2 linked regions of the Diceros bicornis minor genome follow. Each later gene encodes a partner of the first gene's protein in a complex. Links are inferred from orthologs where the notes say so. Each region holds a gene or a part of one and is shown on either strand. Other genes may lie near its edges.

The links.
Region 2: PHF10 (region 1) and SMARCD3 share a complex: the UniProt entries of both Homo sapiens proteins name them as parts of the neural progenitors-specific chromatin remodeling complex. The link is inferred for Diceros bicornis minor from reciprocal best matches to the Homo sapiens genes PHF10 and SMARCD3.

What each region holds. Positions count from the first base shown.
Region 1 is NC_080778.1:2,202,986-2,210,665, forward strand, and holds the start of PHF10 (PHD finger protein 10), read left to right. Parts: upstream 1-4,502; 5' UTR 4,503-4,528; coding exon 4,529-4,615; intron 4,616-7,449; coding exon 7,450-7,556; intron 7,557-7,680. UniProt on the Homo sapiens protein: Involved in transcription activity regulation by chromatin remodeling. Belongs to the neural progenitors-specific chromatin remodeling complex (npBAF complex) and is required for the proliferation of neural progenitors.
Region 2 is NC_080742.1:96,903,581-96,911,482, reverse strand, and holds the start of SMARCD3 (SWI/SNF-related matrix-associated actin-dependent regulator of chromatin subfamily D member 3), read left to right. Parts: upstream 1-4,448; 5' UTR 4,449-4,581; coding exon 4,582-4,659; intron 4,660-7,520; coding exon 7,521-7,732; intron 7,733-7,902. UniProt on the Homo sapiens protein: Involved in transcriptional activation and repression of select genes by chromatin remodeling (alteration of DNA-nucleosome topology).

The sequences.
Region 1 (7,680 bases):
AAAGAGAAAAACAGAGACTACCTCTAGGAGGAAAAGGGATCAAGATCATAACCAAGAGTACTCTACCAAATTTAAACCAAGAGTCACTAAAGCCCAAGAAACTAGTTTCCCAAATATTTTCTCCTGCCAATCTAAATTTAGAAAGAGAAAAAATTCTCACCATTTCCTTCCGCCGGACTCCGCAGATAGAGATTCCGGGAGGCTGACATGGTAAGAAGTCTTACCTTTTGCCGGCTTTCGTCAGGCGTTCCCGTATCTCATCATCTGCAGTAGTCCAGGGAGAAGGCAGGTCTTTCAGCCAGAGAAGGCAACTTGCCAGCCAGTGCGGCTCCTGGCTGGCTCGCCAAGACTGTCGGGGGAAGAGGGAGAATCTCCCTCTGCCCTTTCCCTTAAGGTTCCTCTGGCTGGCCAAATAATCAACAAGACAGGTTAGCAGGAGAAAATAATACCAAGTTTAATAACATGTATACATGGGAGAAAGCAGGAACACTGCGTTTCTCAACACAATAGCAGAAATTCTCGTCTTAAATATCTTTTTCAGCCAATGACAAAGGAGGATTTTGGCGGTGGGGGGAGTCAGTTACAGGAGATTACCACTAAAGCACAGTAAACAAGAGTAAGGTTTATTATGTAGCTCAAGGCCTCACCTTCCACATTGACAAGTCACTAGAAATGCGCTCATCCCCCTCTCTTCTCCAAACAGAGAGGGAGATACCTTTACAAGTGGAGATTTCCCTTATAAATGTAAATGATTGTCTGGCAACTCTTCGCAGGGTCATCCAGAGAATGTGGCCAGAGAGACAGAACCTCTGATAAGAGGGGCTTGTTGGTGCCTTTCCTATTCTAACATTTACCCTACGTTATCTTTACAGCCATCATGATAGATCTATTCCAGGAAGGAGCTACCATGTCAAATTCTTTAGGCAGTTAGTGGGGGAGGTCAAATGTCCTCAGAGAAAACAACCAAGGTAAAGAGATAGATTTCAGGGTGGCCAAATCTTCATCTCCCACACTAATTACCCCCACACTGCTAAATACAATGGACATATCTCTGTCTTCCTGGTACTCAACTTCTCAATCAACATAGTTGACTGGTTCCCTTTCTGAAACACTCTATCCTCTCAGTTTACAATACTTGACACTTCCTTCTCCTTCTCTACCTATTTCCACAAGTATCTCTAGACTTCTTGGTCTGGGGCCTTTTTCTCACCTTTATCTCCATATTCTAAGTGGTCTCACACAGAGACCATGGCTTATGGCTTTTTCTCTTCACCACTGTATTGCCAGTGCCTAACTCAGGGCCTAACAATAAATAATAAGGTAGTATTTGACGAAAAAATGAATAAATCATTCCTTAAATTATTCCTTGTATTTCTATCACCTAACAGTTCTTAGCTCATAGTTCATTTCCATGAACTATTTGTGAAATAATTGAATGGACATGATTATTATTGTTAAAAAACAAAATTTAACCAAGTAAATTTGAAGATCTAATTGGCTTTATTAGGCAATTCATGAATCAGGCAGTATCCCCTCTAGCAACTAGAAGAGTACTTTGAAGAGTTGTACAAAATGAAAGGTTTTTTATACTTATAGGAAGAAGGGTGGGGCAAGTGAAGGGAAGGTACCTGGAAACTGTTTTATCTTGCAGATTGCCTCTTCTTCCTCTGGGGGGGATGGGGGATGGAGAGGGCCCAAGTGGCAGATGATCTCATTGGTGCTGATCAAAAAATTCTAGACTGGCCAATTAAGATGACATTTCTAGGTTTGTATCATAGGCTTTGGCACATGTGACACTGTTTTGGGCCTGTGGTTTTCCTTTTAATATTCTAATCCTACAAACGAGGAATCGGAGAGGGTCAGAGAGATTGAATAATTTCCCCTGGTCACACAGCTAATAAGTGGCGCAGCTGGTATTCAAACCCAAGTCTTAACTCCAAATGTTTCTTCTCACCATTACATCATACTGCCTCCCTGCATATTTCATCCCTAACTCCTAGAATCTGCCTTCATTAACTCTATTCTCAAGCCAAACTGGAGTGATCGACGTACCTGAACATGTCTCCTATTTTCCCACCTCTCAATCTTTTTCATGCTTGAAATCCTATTTCCACTTCCAGTTGTACATTTACCTGTAGCTATTCTACTAGTATCTTAAGATAGTTTTCAAATTCTGTGTCAACCTTAAAATCTTAAATTTTCTAGTTGCAAGTGAATTTTCTCCCACCTAAACCACTTTTAAATACAATTGTAATTTGTATCATATTCTTTCAACATTGAAACTGCCTACAGGGAGGAATTGTAATCCACATAGTGCTGCCTTAATATTCTGCCTTCCTTGCATGTTGAAAGGCTGAGTCAGTCTTTGTTGACTTGGAATGAAGAGTTTTAAATTTGTACTTGATCTAGAGACAGAATGCCTGAGGGAAATGAGTAGAACCAAATAACTGAACATATATATTATATATTCTTAACATTAAACTCTATCCAGAGAATCTGACTAAGGGCCTTGATCAGTTAAGAGAATTTGGCGGAAAAATGTTGATTCTTCTTGTTGGGTTCACATGGGCCATTTTCTTCAGTGGGCTCTTGTTAGGGAAATGGGCAGCTGGTCTGACTGAGGATGCAAAAGAAAGCAAAGTCTAAAAAGGAGCAACTTGGGAATCTTAAGTTGTTGGTGATGCCATTGCTGATCTGATGCAAGTGGGAAACTCAGGATAGGGTGGCCTGGGAGAGTCAAATTAGGTCGTTTGTATTAATGTGATGAGCTAGAAATAATCCCTGTGTTTGATCTTTCCAAACTTGTGTCTGCTGAGTGTGAGCAAAAAAAATGAATGAAAAGGAAGCCATACACTAAATCCAAGAACATTCTCTATTGCCTGAAACAAGTCATAGACACTCTCAGATAATAAAGTGTCTGCGGAGAGGTCAACTTTAATGACTTTCTGGCACCCTTGTCATCTTACTACAGCCATCTGCCATGTGTTCTTTTAAGGTTCAGTTCCTAACTTTTTATTTTTGGTGAAGTCCTAGAAGTGACCAGGTGAAGCCTAAGAACTAGGATTAAGAGTAAATTCAATTCAATAAACAGCTCCCTTTTTCTTTTGTGGGCCTACCATTGTTCTATGCTCTTTACAACAATCCTGAAGATTCAGGATCTCCCCATTTTACGGATGAGAAAAGAGGAGTCAAGGCTGTGCGGAGTCAGAATATGACTGGAGGTCAGTATGGTCCCCAAATGTTCTGTTGCCACTTGTCTTTCCTGCTGTTGATCAGCCTGGGAAGCCTTCCATGCAGCCTTCTCAGAACACCTCTCTTTCTCTCTCCGCGCTATCTTACTGTCTTCGGTGGAAGCTGCTGCATAAATTACATTCCGACACACAGAATCCTAAGCATGCAAGTTGAATTTCAGCTACTTTTACATTTTAAGATTTCGGCACGCTCTGAGGCGGATGTAGAAAAACTTTGCAAATGAAAGCAGCGGCGGATGTCATTGGGAAGTACTCATCCCATGGCAGGTAGCTCAGGAGCTCCAGAGGGCGGGAGGCCGCGAGCAGAGAACAAAGGCTGGCGAGGGGCGGCGACTGCGGACCGGGAACACGAGGAAATGGGCCAGGGCCCTCACAGCCCACCGTGACACAGCCACGGCGGGGGGAGACCCCCCAGGAATTAGGGCGAGGGGCGGGGGAGGGGACCCCCGGGAGAGAGGGGGCGGGGACCCTCAAGGAGGAGGAGGCGGAGGAGGGGACCCCCGGGAGGAGGGGCGAGGACCCTTGGGGAAGGGGCGGAGGAGGGGACCCCGGGAGGAGGGGGCGGAGGAAGGGACCCCTGGGAGGAGGGGCGGGGCTGGGCGCCGCGGGACGCTGTGGGAGGAGAGGGCTGACGTGCGGAGGGGCCGGGCCGGGGGCGCGGGGAGGGGGCGGCGGCGAGCTCGCCAAGTGGCGGCGGGCCGGGGCGGGGCTGGGGGCCGAGGGGAGCGGCGGGAGGTGGGGCTGCGGAGCGCGCCGGGTGCGGCGGGCCGGGGATCGCGCGGGGCTAAGGAGCGGCGGGCGGGCGCAGCCGAGGGGAGGCAGACGGCGGCGGAAGGGAGCCGAGGGCCGAGGGCGGCGGGGAGCCCAGGGGAGCGGAGCCGCCGAGGGCCGCGGGCGGCGGCGGCGGCGGCAGAGGGAGCGGCGGCGAGGGCAGCTGAGGGCCGCGGGGAGCGGCGGGCTGCGGCCGGCGCCGGGCGGGCGCGCTGAGGGTCGGCGGGGCGGGCGCGCCGAGGCCGCCGGCGTCCTCCTTCCGGCCCTCGGCCGCGGCGCGAGGCGGCGCGCTGGCGGCGGCCATGGCGGTGGCGGCGGCGCTGGCGGGCCGCGGGGCGCGCGGAGGCAGGGGCCGGCCCCCGGGCGGCGGGCGGGCGGAGGGGGCGGGGCCCGGGCGGCGGGCGGCCCGCGCGGCGGCGGCGGCGGCGGCGGCGGCGGCAGCGGCGGCGGCGGCCGGGACGAGACGGCGGCGGCGGCGGAGGCGGCGGCGCGGGGCGCTCGGGCTGATGGCGGCGGCGGCCGGCCCTGGGACGGCGCTGTCCCCGCGGCCGTGCGACAGCGAGCCGGCCACCCCCGGAGCGCAGTCCCCGAAGGTGAGGAGGCGCCGCTCGGCGGGAGGGGGTGGCGGGCGGGGGCCGCGCGGTTCCCGCCTCAGTCGCGCTGTGAGGACGCGCGCCGCGGGGCTGCGGAGGGCTGGACGCCGCCGGGAGGCGGGAGGAGGCTGAGGAGACCCCCCACGGGCCTCGGCCGGGTCGGGAGGCCCTCGGGGACAGCGCGAGGGCCCGGGCCGGTCAGCCCGGCGCTGTGAGGGTGGCCGGTGAGGAGCCGGCCTCCCCGTGTCCCCGCGTCCCGGGGTCCGGGCAGCTTCCCCAGAGCTCGCTCCAAGAAGCCAGTGGTGGGCTTCTTGTGGGCACACCACTTTCGCTGCAGACGGAAGGAGTCTCCTCTCCTTAGTCTAGGATGGTGTGTAGGTCTAGGACATCTTTCGTCTGAGGGGTGTCGGAGGGATGGGAACTCTTCTGAGCAAAGAGCATAAACAACTGGGGCAAACAAGATAGGTGTTCAGTCAGTGGACTCAGTTTATTACTAAGTTAATACACAGCCATTCTAATATTTTCAGTGAAACTTTAAAAAAAATTGTAGTTGGTACTGTTTTCAGAAGGTAGAAAGGACTTAGTGTTTCTGAAGTCGAAGATGAATGGAGAAAAACCAAGATGAGCAGTGGAATGTCATGCATTAAAACAGTTGTTTTTAAAGTTACTAGTTTGTGACGGAAGGTTGGAATGGAGGAGTGATTTCTAAAAACCTCAAAATTTGAATTGTCATTGAAAAGTTGAAAGTAGAAGATAATGGGAAGTAGAACACTTAAGACCCATCTCTTGCCTTGAGTGTGTTGACAGTAGGAACAAGTTCTTGTTGCCCTCCCACAAGACTGCTCCTGCCTTGTCCCTGTATCCTCTGTGCTGCACAATAAAGACTCTCCTTTCTGAGGGTTTCTCAAGTGCCCGAACCTATGCAAGTGACTGGGCTGTAAGGCTCTTAATCCCCACCATTGTGCTTCCAGAGTCAGTGCTGGGCCTGGCACGTGGGGAGCGCTCAGCGTACCTCCCCACTGCGTGTCTAGTGCAGGACTTATCTGAACCTCGTGGTGGATAGGAACCTGTCTAATCTGAAGGTGGGAACCACCTGTGACTCCCATTTAGTAGATCTGGCAGTCTTAAGTACGGACTTCTGTATCAGTATCGAAGGTACAAGCAAATTCCTTTAACTTAATTGTATTCTATCATAAGTTAGGAAAGATATTGCTGTTACATCTCTCTAGGAAAAGGTCAGCCAGCTAATGTTCAAATGCATTTGCCTAGAATTTGTAATAGCAGATTCAAAACACTGCGTATGAAATTGTGGTTTCAGCTTTTTTGAGGGCTTTGTGTTTTTAACTTTTTGTCTCTTTTCGATTTTTTTGCCGAGGGGAATATACTTAAATGAATTGACGTAAAAATCCTTAAAATGCTCAGAAGCCAGTAAAATAGAAAAAAATGATACTTGAATGCTTAGAAGGAGTTATGCCTGAAATATTGAAGATGAAATGTTTCAATTGTGATACTTATTGTTAAGTGTAAATTTTGGTGAAATAGATTTAGACTATTCTCTATCTCCTGTCTGGTTGCTTGTCTTAATAGGAACATACAGAGCTCTTTAATTGAATGCTTATTTTATAAGAACTGAAAAGGAGAATATTCTGTATATTTTACTATTTGGGAAGGAATCTGAGTAACTTCCTAACAGCTGGAGCCATTTGAAACTTTCTAAGTATCATCGTAATCATATTAACTAATTTTTATTGGGCACTTAATTATTTGCTAGGCCTTGCTCTAAGTGCTTCCCATTTATTAACTCATTTAATCCTTGCCTTAGCCAAGTAACACAGGCACTATTATCATCTCAGTTTTACAGATAAGGAGCAGCTCACAGAGGATAACTACTCAGCTAGTGAAGGGCAGTGCCCAGTAATATCCCAGGCAGTCCAGCTTTGGCGTGCCTGATGAGTATACCTTACTACCTCTTTATATTCTTCTGCAGGATTGCTTTCCTTTTAATATGTAGCAAGAGAACCATGGCAAAATTGTATTAGTCTTAGAAAGCTACGTTACCTTGACTTAAAAAAAATCTGCTTTTTTAAGGCTTATATTCATTAAGCTTTCGCTAAATAATATGTGAATAAATTAATTTCCTAACATTTTATACCTCATTTATTTCCTTAATGCAGTGGTCCACCTTACAGCCTTAATATTGTTACATAATGGATAAAGTCACTTAAAAAAATTTTAAGCCTCTCCTTTTTTTGGGGGAAGGTGTGTGTTGCTATATAGATTGATGATTCTTACTAGGATATAGTTCTGCTAAATTTTTGCAATGTAAGGAAAAAAATTTAACAGGATTGGTACCCTGTTTTTAGTTCTTGTATGTCCTCTTTTTACAGGGATATAAGTATCTAAAATAGCTGATTAGAATAGCCCTATAAGCCAGCTGTAAGTTGAGTTAAACACTAAATGATCCATACATTTTTTTCCTGGCTGGGGTAGGAGGGTTTGCTTTAATTTTAGAGTGTTCCAGCAATTTTATGTGTGTATTTAAAGCAGAAGGCGTTTTAACCTTGGTTGGTAAGAAAGCGAAAGTAGACTTAGATTTACAGGTTAATTGAAAATTTTCTTATTTTGATTGTTTTGAAGATCAGTTTTTAGTTTTTTCCAGGTCTTGCCCATGCTAAATTCTTGTCTCCTGTTAATTATAATAGAAAGTTAACATTTGCGTAACCAGTTGTCCTTAGAAAGCCTTTAAGTTGAGCTTCTTAGCAAGTTTGGGAAGATACATAATCATTCTTTTCTTATTTTTCTTTTATTATTTTTTGAATCTTTTAAATGTGTAGGATGATAATGAAGATAATTCAAATGATGGGACCCAGCCATCCAAAAGGAGGCGAATGGGCTCAGGCGATAGCTCTAGGAGTTGTGAAACTTCAAGTCAAGATCTTGGGTACTGTTATTTTATTGCTTAATAATATTTTTTGTGCTATGTTTCTCCTCTCTGCATTAGCTTCCTCCTCCCCTCCCCCCAGCCCTGGCAAAGGTAATTATAAATATTGTAGAGTATTTTTTGT
Region 2 (7,902 bases), on another chromosome or scaffold:
CTACTTTTTCTTTGTTTTTTGCTTCTTTCTATCCTATTTGTCTCTCTTGTGTGCGTTTGCAAAACTGACACAGAAAGGTGAAGTCACAGAGAGACAGACTGCCCCCTCGATAGTAGCAGAGGGTGTCCCGGGCACGGAAACATTCTTGCACAAAGAGGGAGGTACGCAGCGCTACTCTGGCCTGGGAAGAGTAGTGAGGGTAGCCAGGAGGAGGAGGACTGTGCCACAAAGCCCTTGGTCTGGTCTGCCAATGTCCTGTCTGCTGGCTGGAGGAAGCCCCTCACTAGAGGTGGGGGTTAAGGTGCAGACTCCCCTCCACCCATCTCTGGTCTAGCCAGGGTTCCCTGGGGGCCTGGGACTTAGGCCAGGCAGGTAGGCTGGGTCAGAGCTGCCTCTGGGGCCCCTGGCATGCCCTGGGGTTTAGTGACCAAAGGAGAAGGTGGGGGCTGGGTTTAGGGATGCGCCAGAACATAGAAATCACTGGGTCCGCAGCCTGAGAGCTCCAGGTGGCCTCACTTGCTCGCTCGCTCGCTCGCTCGCTCGCTCGCTCTCTCGCTCTCTCTCTCTCTCTCTCTCCCCCTCTCTCCCTCTCTCTCTCACATACACACACACTCACACGCGATGTCTTTCTGCTAAGGAAGGCTTTATTGCTAGGGGTGTAGGGTGTAGGGAAAAGGGGCAGCGGGAAGAGGTCTCTCCCTTCAGTCTGGTTTCCTTTGTTCCTCCCTTGCCTTCCTCCCTCTCCCCTTCCAGCTTCCCTCCTCTCCTCCTAGCCGCCTTCTTCCATTCTCCCTCCCCCTCCTCCCCCCTCCCCCTGAGCCGGTCCCCGTAATGGGACCTCCACAGAAGGCGGGGAGGGTGGGACTCCGGGCTCCGGCCCCAGCCTCGGTGGCCGTCTTCCCGCAGGGAAGGAGTTAAGTCTCTTCGCTGCATCCCTCCTCCCTCCTCTGCCTCTCCCCGCCGCCTCTGAGTCCTGCAGCTAGGCCCTGGGCTGACCTTCACCGGGAGGGAGGCCGCAGTGCGCATGCCTGGGCCGGCTCCGGGCCGGCTCCCGCCGCTGTCCCGGGCCCCCGCGGGCGAGGGTGAGGGCGGGCGGCCGCGGGCCGGGACGTGCCCCCAGCGCTCGGGCGCGGTGATGGTGGGGGGAGGGGGCGCCGAGCCCATCCCGCTGGCCGCGGCGCATCTCTCCCTGCGCGGGGAGAGGCGCTTTGCCATTTGGTGCTGGTGGTGCTTCGGCGAGGGAAGAAGAGATGGGGGGACGGCAGGGGGGACTCCGGCTCCGGGCCTCCGGGCGGCCGCCCTGTGCCCGGACACGCGCACGGCCTGCCCGGAGCTCGACCTGGGCCAGTTGGCCGCGGCTAAGGGCCCGGTCCGGCCTGGAGGACAGCCCCTTGCCTGCTGGAATCGGGCTTTCCCTGGGCCTCCTTCCCACCGGCAGGAGCCAGCGGCATGGCACTGCTGAGCGCCCTTCTGGGGCTGAGACTTCGGGGTTCCTGGCCTGTGTGAGGTGGGAGTCCTGGTTGGGACATCCACACTGGCGCCTCTGCTTTCTAGTCTGAAGGGTCTCCTGTGTCCTTACACTTAGGGTTGCCCCCGTAAAAGCAGCATGCAAACCTGTCTGCTGGCGGGTGCCTTGTGAATTGGGCCTTGCAAGTGGGATGTGGAGGTGATCAGGGTGTGCCTGTGTGTGAAAATCTACGTGGCTCCTTGTCCCTTTGGCGTTTGCATTGGTGTGTGCCTTGGGGCGTGTATGCACTATATATCTGTTGTCTGTGCACACATAAGAATGTCTCCCAGAAAGGGGGCTGCAGGGGGAGGCCCTGGTCTTGGGGTGGCCCTGGAGGGGGTTATCTATAGATTTGAATGACTTGTGGGCTCCTCCTCAGGTACCACCAGAGCCTTTGGTCTAACCACCTCCTGCAATCTCCTCCACCACCAAGACCAGCCCCTCACAAATGCTGGGTGTTCCCACTGCCCTTCGTGCCCTTCCCTCAAACTTTTCAGCTGCCCAGTCTGGGGTGCCCATCCACCTCCTCTGCTGTCTTCTTTTCCCAAAAGGCCTCTCCAAGAGTTGAGAACTCTGAGCTTTACACAAAGCCTAGAGGTGACTGCCCCTGCCCAGTCCCCCAGAACCTCCAAGACCTGTGGGTTCATGTGTTCATGCTAGAAGCACCCATGGGGGGTGGGGTGCCCATGGTGACTCACACGTCCAGGTAAGTGTCAGAGCATGAGCTCGGTCCACTGGCCCACTGAGCTTTGGGTGGTTGCAAGCGTTAGCAGGCATTTGGTCATGTCAAGTCCCTGTGTCCAGGCATGAGGGGAGAGTGGGACTTAAAGACCGGTCTCTGACTTAAGGGAGCTGCAGCCTATTTGGGAAACCAAATCTAATATACGTGAACCACAGGGCACATCAGACATTAGTCAGTCAAGTGCCAATTCATGGTGCAGGGTGGATGGCAATGGGCATTTGGAGAAGAGAAAGACCTGTGCATAGGAGTGGGACCAGGAAGGCTTCCTGGGGGAGGTGGGGCGAGACATGGGCTTTAAAGGATGAATGTGATCTGGACAGGCAGAGGAGCAGTAGAGGGATTCCAGGCAAAAGAATAGCTGGAGCAGAGGCTTAGAAATGGGAATGAGTGACAGGTTTTAGAGGTTAGTGGACAAACTAGAGAGATTACCTCTCCAGGTTACCAGTAGCCACCTTCATGGCCTATGGCAACTGCCCACCCATCCCCACCCCACCAGGGCCCAGTCTCGGTATGTGTGGCTCTAGGGGGAAGCCTGGGTAGAGATTTAATAGGAATGGAATCTCTAGGTCCCCTGCTAAGCCGGCCGTAGAGGAGGGGTGTCCTGGACACACGTCCTCTCTGGCCTTTCAGGGGATTGACAGTGGGCACCTAAACGGACAATGACAGCCAGGTGCACAACCAGGGCCCAAGGGAGTCAGGCCGCAGGCAAAGAAGGATCCTGGAGCAGAACACTCCCTTGGTTCTTTGTCCCAACCTCTGAAGGCATTCTGAAACATTGAGGGTCAGGACTCCCCAGTGTAATGCTGGGTCTGCAGGGTTTAACTTCAAATAAGTTTTCCAACACATTCCCCCAGGCATCGCCCCATCCTCACCTAGATTCTGACAGTGCAGCCCCAGGAGGCCCATAAAGTTGACCCACTGTTGTCCCAAAGCCATGGGCCTCTCCTCCAGGAGGAGAGAGGGGTGTGGCCTTTGGAGGCATGGGCGGGGCCAGGGCTCCCAGCCTGGGGATCTCAGGATTTGCTCCTCCTGTTTCCTGTCCCTCCTGTACCCCAGGGACTGCCAGCTTCCTCTGCATTGCCCCTTCTGGGGCTCCCTCATAACCCCATAACCCTGCTTTCTTTGGGGTTTTGAGGCTGGCCCTACCATACCCAGCCGGCCCAGCTCCCCTGGTCTCCCACCACCAGCCCATTCCAAAGCCATCAGGGCCTGCTTGCCTCACTTCCTCCACCCATCCACCCAGGCACCCACCCCAGCTCCTTGCCTCCCCCATGTTTCTCTTCCTGCTCTTGCCAGCCCAATCCACCTCCCTCTTTCTGAAATACTTCCCCTATTGCCCTCACTTTCTCACATAGAGACAAACAAAGACACATACCCAGAAATAGACTCACACGGCGCTGGAAGACACAGGCCATGTCCTGCCACACACGCACCCGCACGCGCGCGCACGCACTAGAGGCTCTCGTGGAGGGAGGCACACAGAGAAGGCATTTGTCTGTGCACGCACATAAACATCCACACCCACAGCCACCGCGCCGTGCCCACACAAGGGTGCAGACACACACGGCGGGCGAGACAAGGGCGCACACATCTGTGGACGCAGGGGGACACCGCCTCGCTGGGCACACCCACCACTGCCGGCCTGGTGCAGGAGGAAGGCCTCCTCTGGGCTCCGGCTCCCCCCGGATTCCTTCCAGAGAATGTTTCCCTACTTGGCCTGCCAGGTCTCTGGGGAAAGGGCCTCAGAAATGCAGCAGGAGCCACTTGGGGGGAAAGTTGGAACTGACTGTTCCCTGCCTGGCCCTGCCGGCGAATTCTCTAACCGAGAAACTATTTGTGGCGAGAGCCCGGGTGGCCGGCGAGCCCCTCGCCACCTCCCCTCGCGTCCCCTCCCCGCGGCCCTCGGGCAGCCTCGGGCTGCAGTGGCGCTGCCCAGCGCCCAGGAGCCGGGCTTGCCGGCGTGCCTCGCTGCTTATCTGCGCTGTTTGGACAGCGAGGGTTGGAAAGGCAGGCTTTTCTGTCCCCGCCGAGTCAACAGGCAGACCCCGGGCCGCCGGACTATTTCTGTCTTATCAGTGCAGGAATGCGGCAGCCGCGGCGGCGGCGGCGGCGGCGGCGGCGGCGGCGGCGGCGGCGGCGGGCGGGCGGCGGCGGCGTGGGCCGTGGGCCGTCAGGGCAGCCCTGAAGGGGCCCCCTCCCCACTCCGCTCGAGTAGAAGTGTGAGAGAGCCCAGCAGGACTCAGAGGGGAGAGTTGGAGGAAAAAAAAAGGCAGAAAAGGGAAAGAAAGAGGAAGAGAGAGAGAGAGTGAGAGGAGCCGCTGAGCCCACCCCGATGGCCGCGGACGAAGTTGCCGGAGGGGCGCGCAAAGCCACGAAAAGCAAACTTTTTGAGTTTCTGGTCCATGGGGTGGTGAGTGGGGGAAAGTTAGCGGGGGAGGGTGAGGAGCTGGCTCGGGCTGAATGGAGGGATGATCGGGAGGGACCAGCAGGGGGGTCCCGCTCTCCCACCCCTCTAGCTGGGGGCGCCAGGGCCCGCGGCCCAGCGCCACCACCGTGCTGGCGCCCTGGCACCCGAACACGTCGTCAGGCGGCCGGCCAGGGATGGGTGTCCGGGCGGGGAAGGGAGGCGTTTGCATGGGTTCTTGTCAGGGGATGGGGGTGGGACTTGGGGACTGCCCCCTCAAGTGGGGGTCCCCTCGGTACCAGACATGTTGTCTTCCGTTCTTTTCCTTGTGGGCCCAGGTGTTACCCTTGCCCTAGGGTGGGGGTGGGGGACATGGCATCGGCTGGGCTGGGCTGTCTGTTCATCCATTGGGACAGTGTCTCTCTGATGGTGTCTTGGGAGCAAGGAGCAGGTGACCCTGGAGGCACTGTGAGCGGGAAGCTTTCTGGCTGAACAACCTCTGCATCCTGGCAGGAGGGCTCTGGGGCTTCACTGATGGACTCTGCCATCAGGGTCAGAGAGAGGCCTTCTCTAGGGACAGACCCCAAGTTAAGGGATCTGAGGATCCCCTTGGCAGACTCCGCCACCAGAAGCTGATGTCCTTAATGCCTCAAAGGTGTGAAGGAAGGGCTGGAGTCAGGTACACAAGGCCTAGAGACCAAAGGGGCAGGGCAGCACGTCCTGCCATGAGCAGACTTGGAAGGCATGCAGGGAGCCGAGGGAGCCCAGGACAACCTGCGGGGATGGGAGCTTCAAGCTGAGGCAACAGGGGCCAGGTTGGCAGGGATGTGGGGGGCAGTGGAATGGGAGAGGCAGGGGCTTCGGGACTTGGGATGGGTGCTGGGGTTGGAGCCGGGTATAGAGGAAGCAGTCAGGTTTACTATGGCCAAATTTGGTTGTGACCCCAAGGAAGGCATGTTCTCAGTGAGGGAGGCCAGAGTCCCTAGAATCTTGGCCCTTCATTGGTGGCTGGCACAGCTCTCTGGGGGCTCTGGGAGCCTCCCTCTCAGGGCCTCTTGTGCAGATCAGTGAGTATCGCTGTCCTTGATAAGTGGGAGAGCATCTGGTAGGGAAAAGGGGCTTCCCTGGGGCGGCCTGTCCTCCAGCCCCGGGGATCTCTGGGGTAACTTCCCAGGGGTGCCTGTGTCGGTCAGCCAAGTTTCCAGTCCTAACCTTGCTGCTTGGGGAAGTCCCTTTAAAAAGGCCCATCTAGGAGGGAGAGCGGCTATGCACATGGATTTTTTTATTTGGCCAACTTAGAGCTTCAGTTCTTGGGTGGCTGTGAGCCCCACTGCCCCACTCCCCGTGCCCCATATGTGCTCGTAGGGAGTGGCAGTGCCTGGGCTCCATTCTGGAGTGTGAGTGACAAGGTCAGGTGGGGTGGGGGAGGCCAACACGTGGGCAGGCAGGTTTCACTGTGGGAGAGATGGGCAGAGACAGCTGGCTGGCGGGGGGCGTGGGGGGGGGCATTGGTTAGGGTTAGACATAGTGCAGGGCAGGAGGGACAGGAGGGAGAGTTGGCAGTTAGAAGGGATTCACCAAGCTCAGGCTCCTCCTTGTGCCTGGGGGCAGCTGCACTTCTGGGGGTGCAGTGGGTGGTGTTTAAATGATAACAGGGTTACAGGGTCTGCATCCTTTGCTCCCTAATCTCCTTCCTGCTCTCCTGTCCCAGTCCCCATCTCACCCACCCTCCACTTTATAGCCCTCTGTCCTTCCCCAATCCCTCTTCTGGAATCTGGACAAGTAAGGTTTAAGAAGGCTATGGAACACTTCACTCAATGAACTTGCATCCCAGTGGCTAGGGACTACACCTGCTTGTCTCCCTCTCCATGGCCCCCTTTGGGCCCTGCCTGGGGTGGGGGTGGGAAGTAGAGAAAGTCTGTAGGATGGGACCATCTCTGGTGATCCAGGCAGACAGGAAGAGAGAGATGGATATAAGAGAAAATGCTGCTGCCTTTGACCTACACAAGCCCTCTGGGCAGCCCACCCCCAGCCCAGCTGTCCCTTGCCCTCCCAATCAGAGAATCCTGGCAGGGTCTGGCCTCAGCTCACTCAGGTTGCTGCCAGCCCTGCCTCCAGCCTTTACCTTGGGAGCAAATTATGGGAGTGGGCTAAGTCAGCAAAGCATCTAGGTATGGAGACTTGGAATCAGCCAAAGGGGGTGGGGGTTGGGACTAAGAGGGCAAAAGCTGGGGCCCAGGGAGAAGAGTAGGTTAAGATGGGAAGGGTGAGTGCAAGGCAGGACAGTCCAGGAAGTGGACTGGGAAGCAGGGAATGGGAAGAGGGGCGGCAGGAGTCGCAACAGGGACCTCAGCCCCTAACCTAGAGGAAGCAGCGGAGGGCAAAAACCCTTGGCCCCTCGGGAAACGACTGCTCAGTGGCTGCTTTTGCCAGGAGGAGCGGTGTGACCTTGGCTAGGTCGCTTTTCTCCTTGAGCCACAGTTGCCTCATCTGTCAAGTGGAGATGGAAGGACCCACTCAGTCTGTCTTGCAGAGGAGCATGTGAATGTGCACATTCTTTGAAAAGGTTGAAAAGGCGCCGTTAAATATTCATTTTCATGGTACCTTCCTCAAATCCGAGGCTGGCAATGCCCTGTGCAGTTGCCTGGCTTCAGTTAGCTTTCTGCAGCCAGACGCAAAGCCCCCTCCGCCAAAGCTGCGCGGTTCCGGCGCTCCTGCCCCTCCCACCCCTCGCTCACGCCGGCGGCATCAGGGTCACTGGCCGGGGGGCTTGGGGTGGGGGAGACGCGGCTCCCTGCTCCTGGAGCCGGGGCCCGTGGTCTGACCCGCGGGCGCCTGTTTCTGCTTCACTCCCGCCCCCCACCCAGCGCCCCGGGATGCCGTCTGGAGCCCGGATGCCCCACCAGGGGGCGCCCATGGGCCCCCCGGGCTCCCCGTACATGGGCAGCCCCGCCGTGCGACCTGGCCTGGCCCCCGCGGGCATGGAGCCCGCCCGCAAGCGAGCAGCGCCCCCGCCCGGCCAGAGCCAGGCCCAGAGCCAGGGCCAGCCGGTGCCCACCGCCCCCGCGAGGAGCCGCAGGTGAGTGGGGCCCAGCGCGGAGGGGGCGGGCCGAAGGACCCGCAGGGACAGGGTGGGCGAGGACCGAGATTGGAAAGGGCGAGGAAGAATGATCAGCAGGGAAGGAGTCGTCCTGGGTGGGATGGGCTCTGGGGCTGTGGGTTGAGAGGGCACTGGTCTGTTTCCTTTGT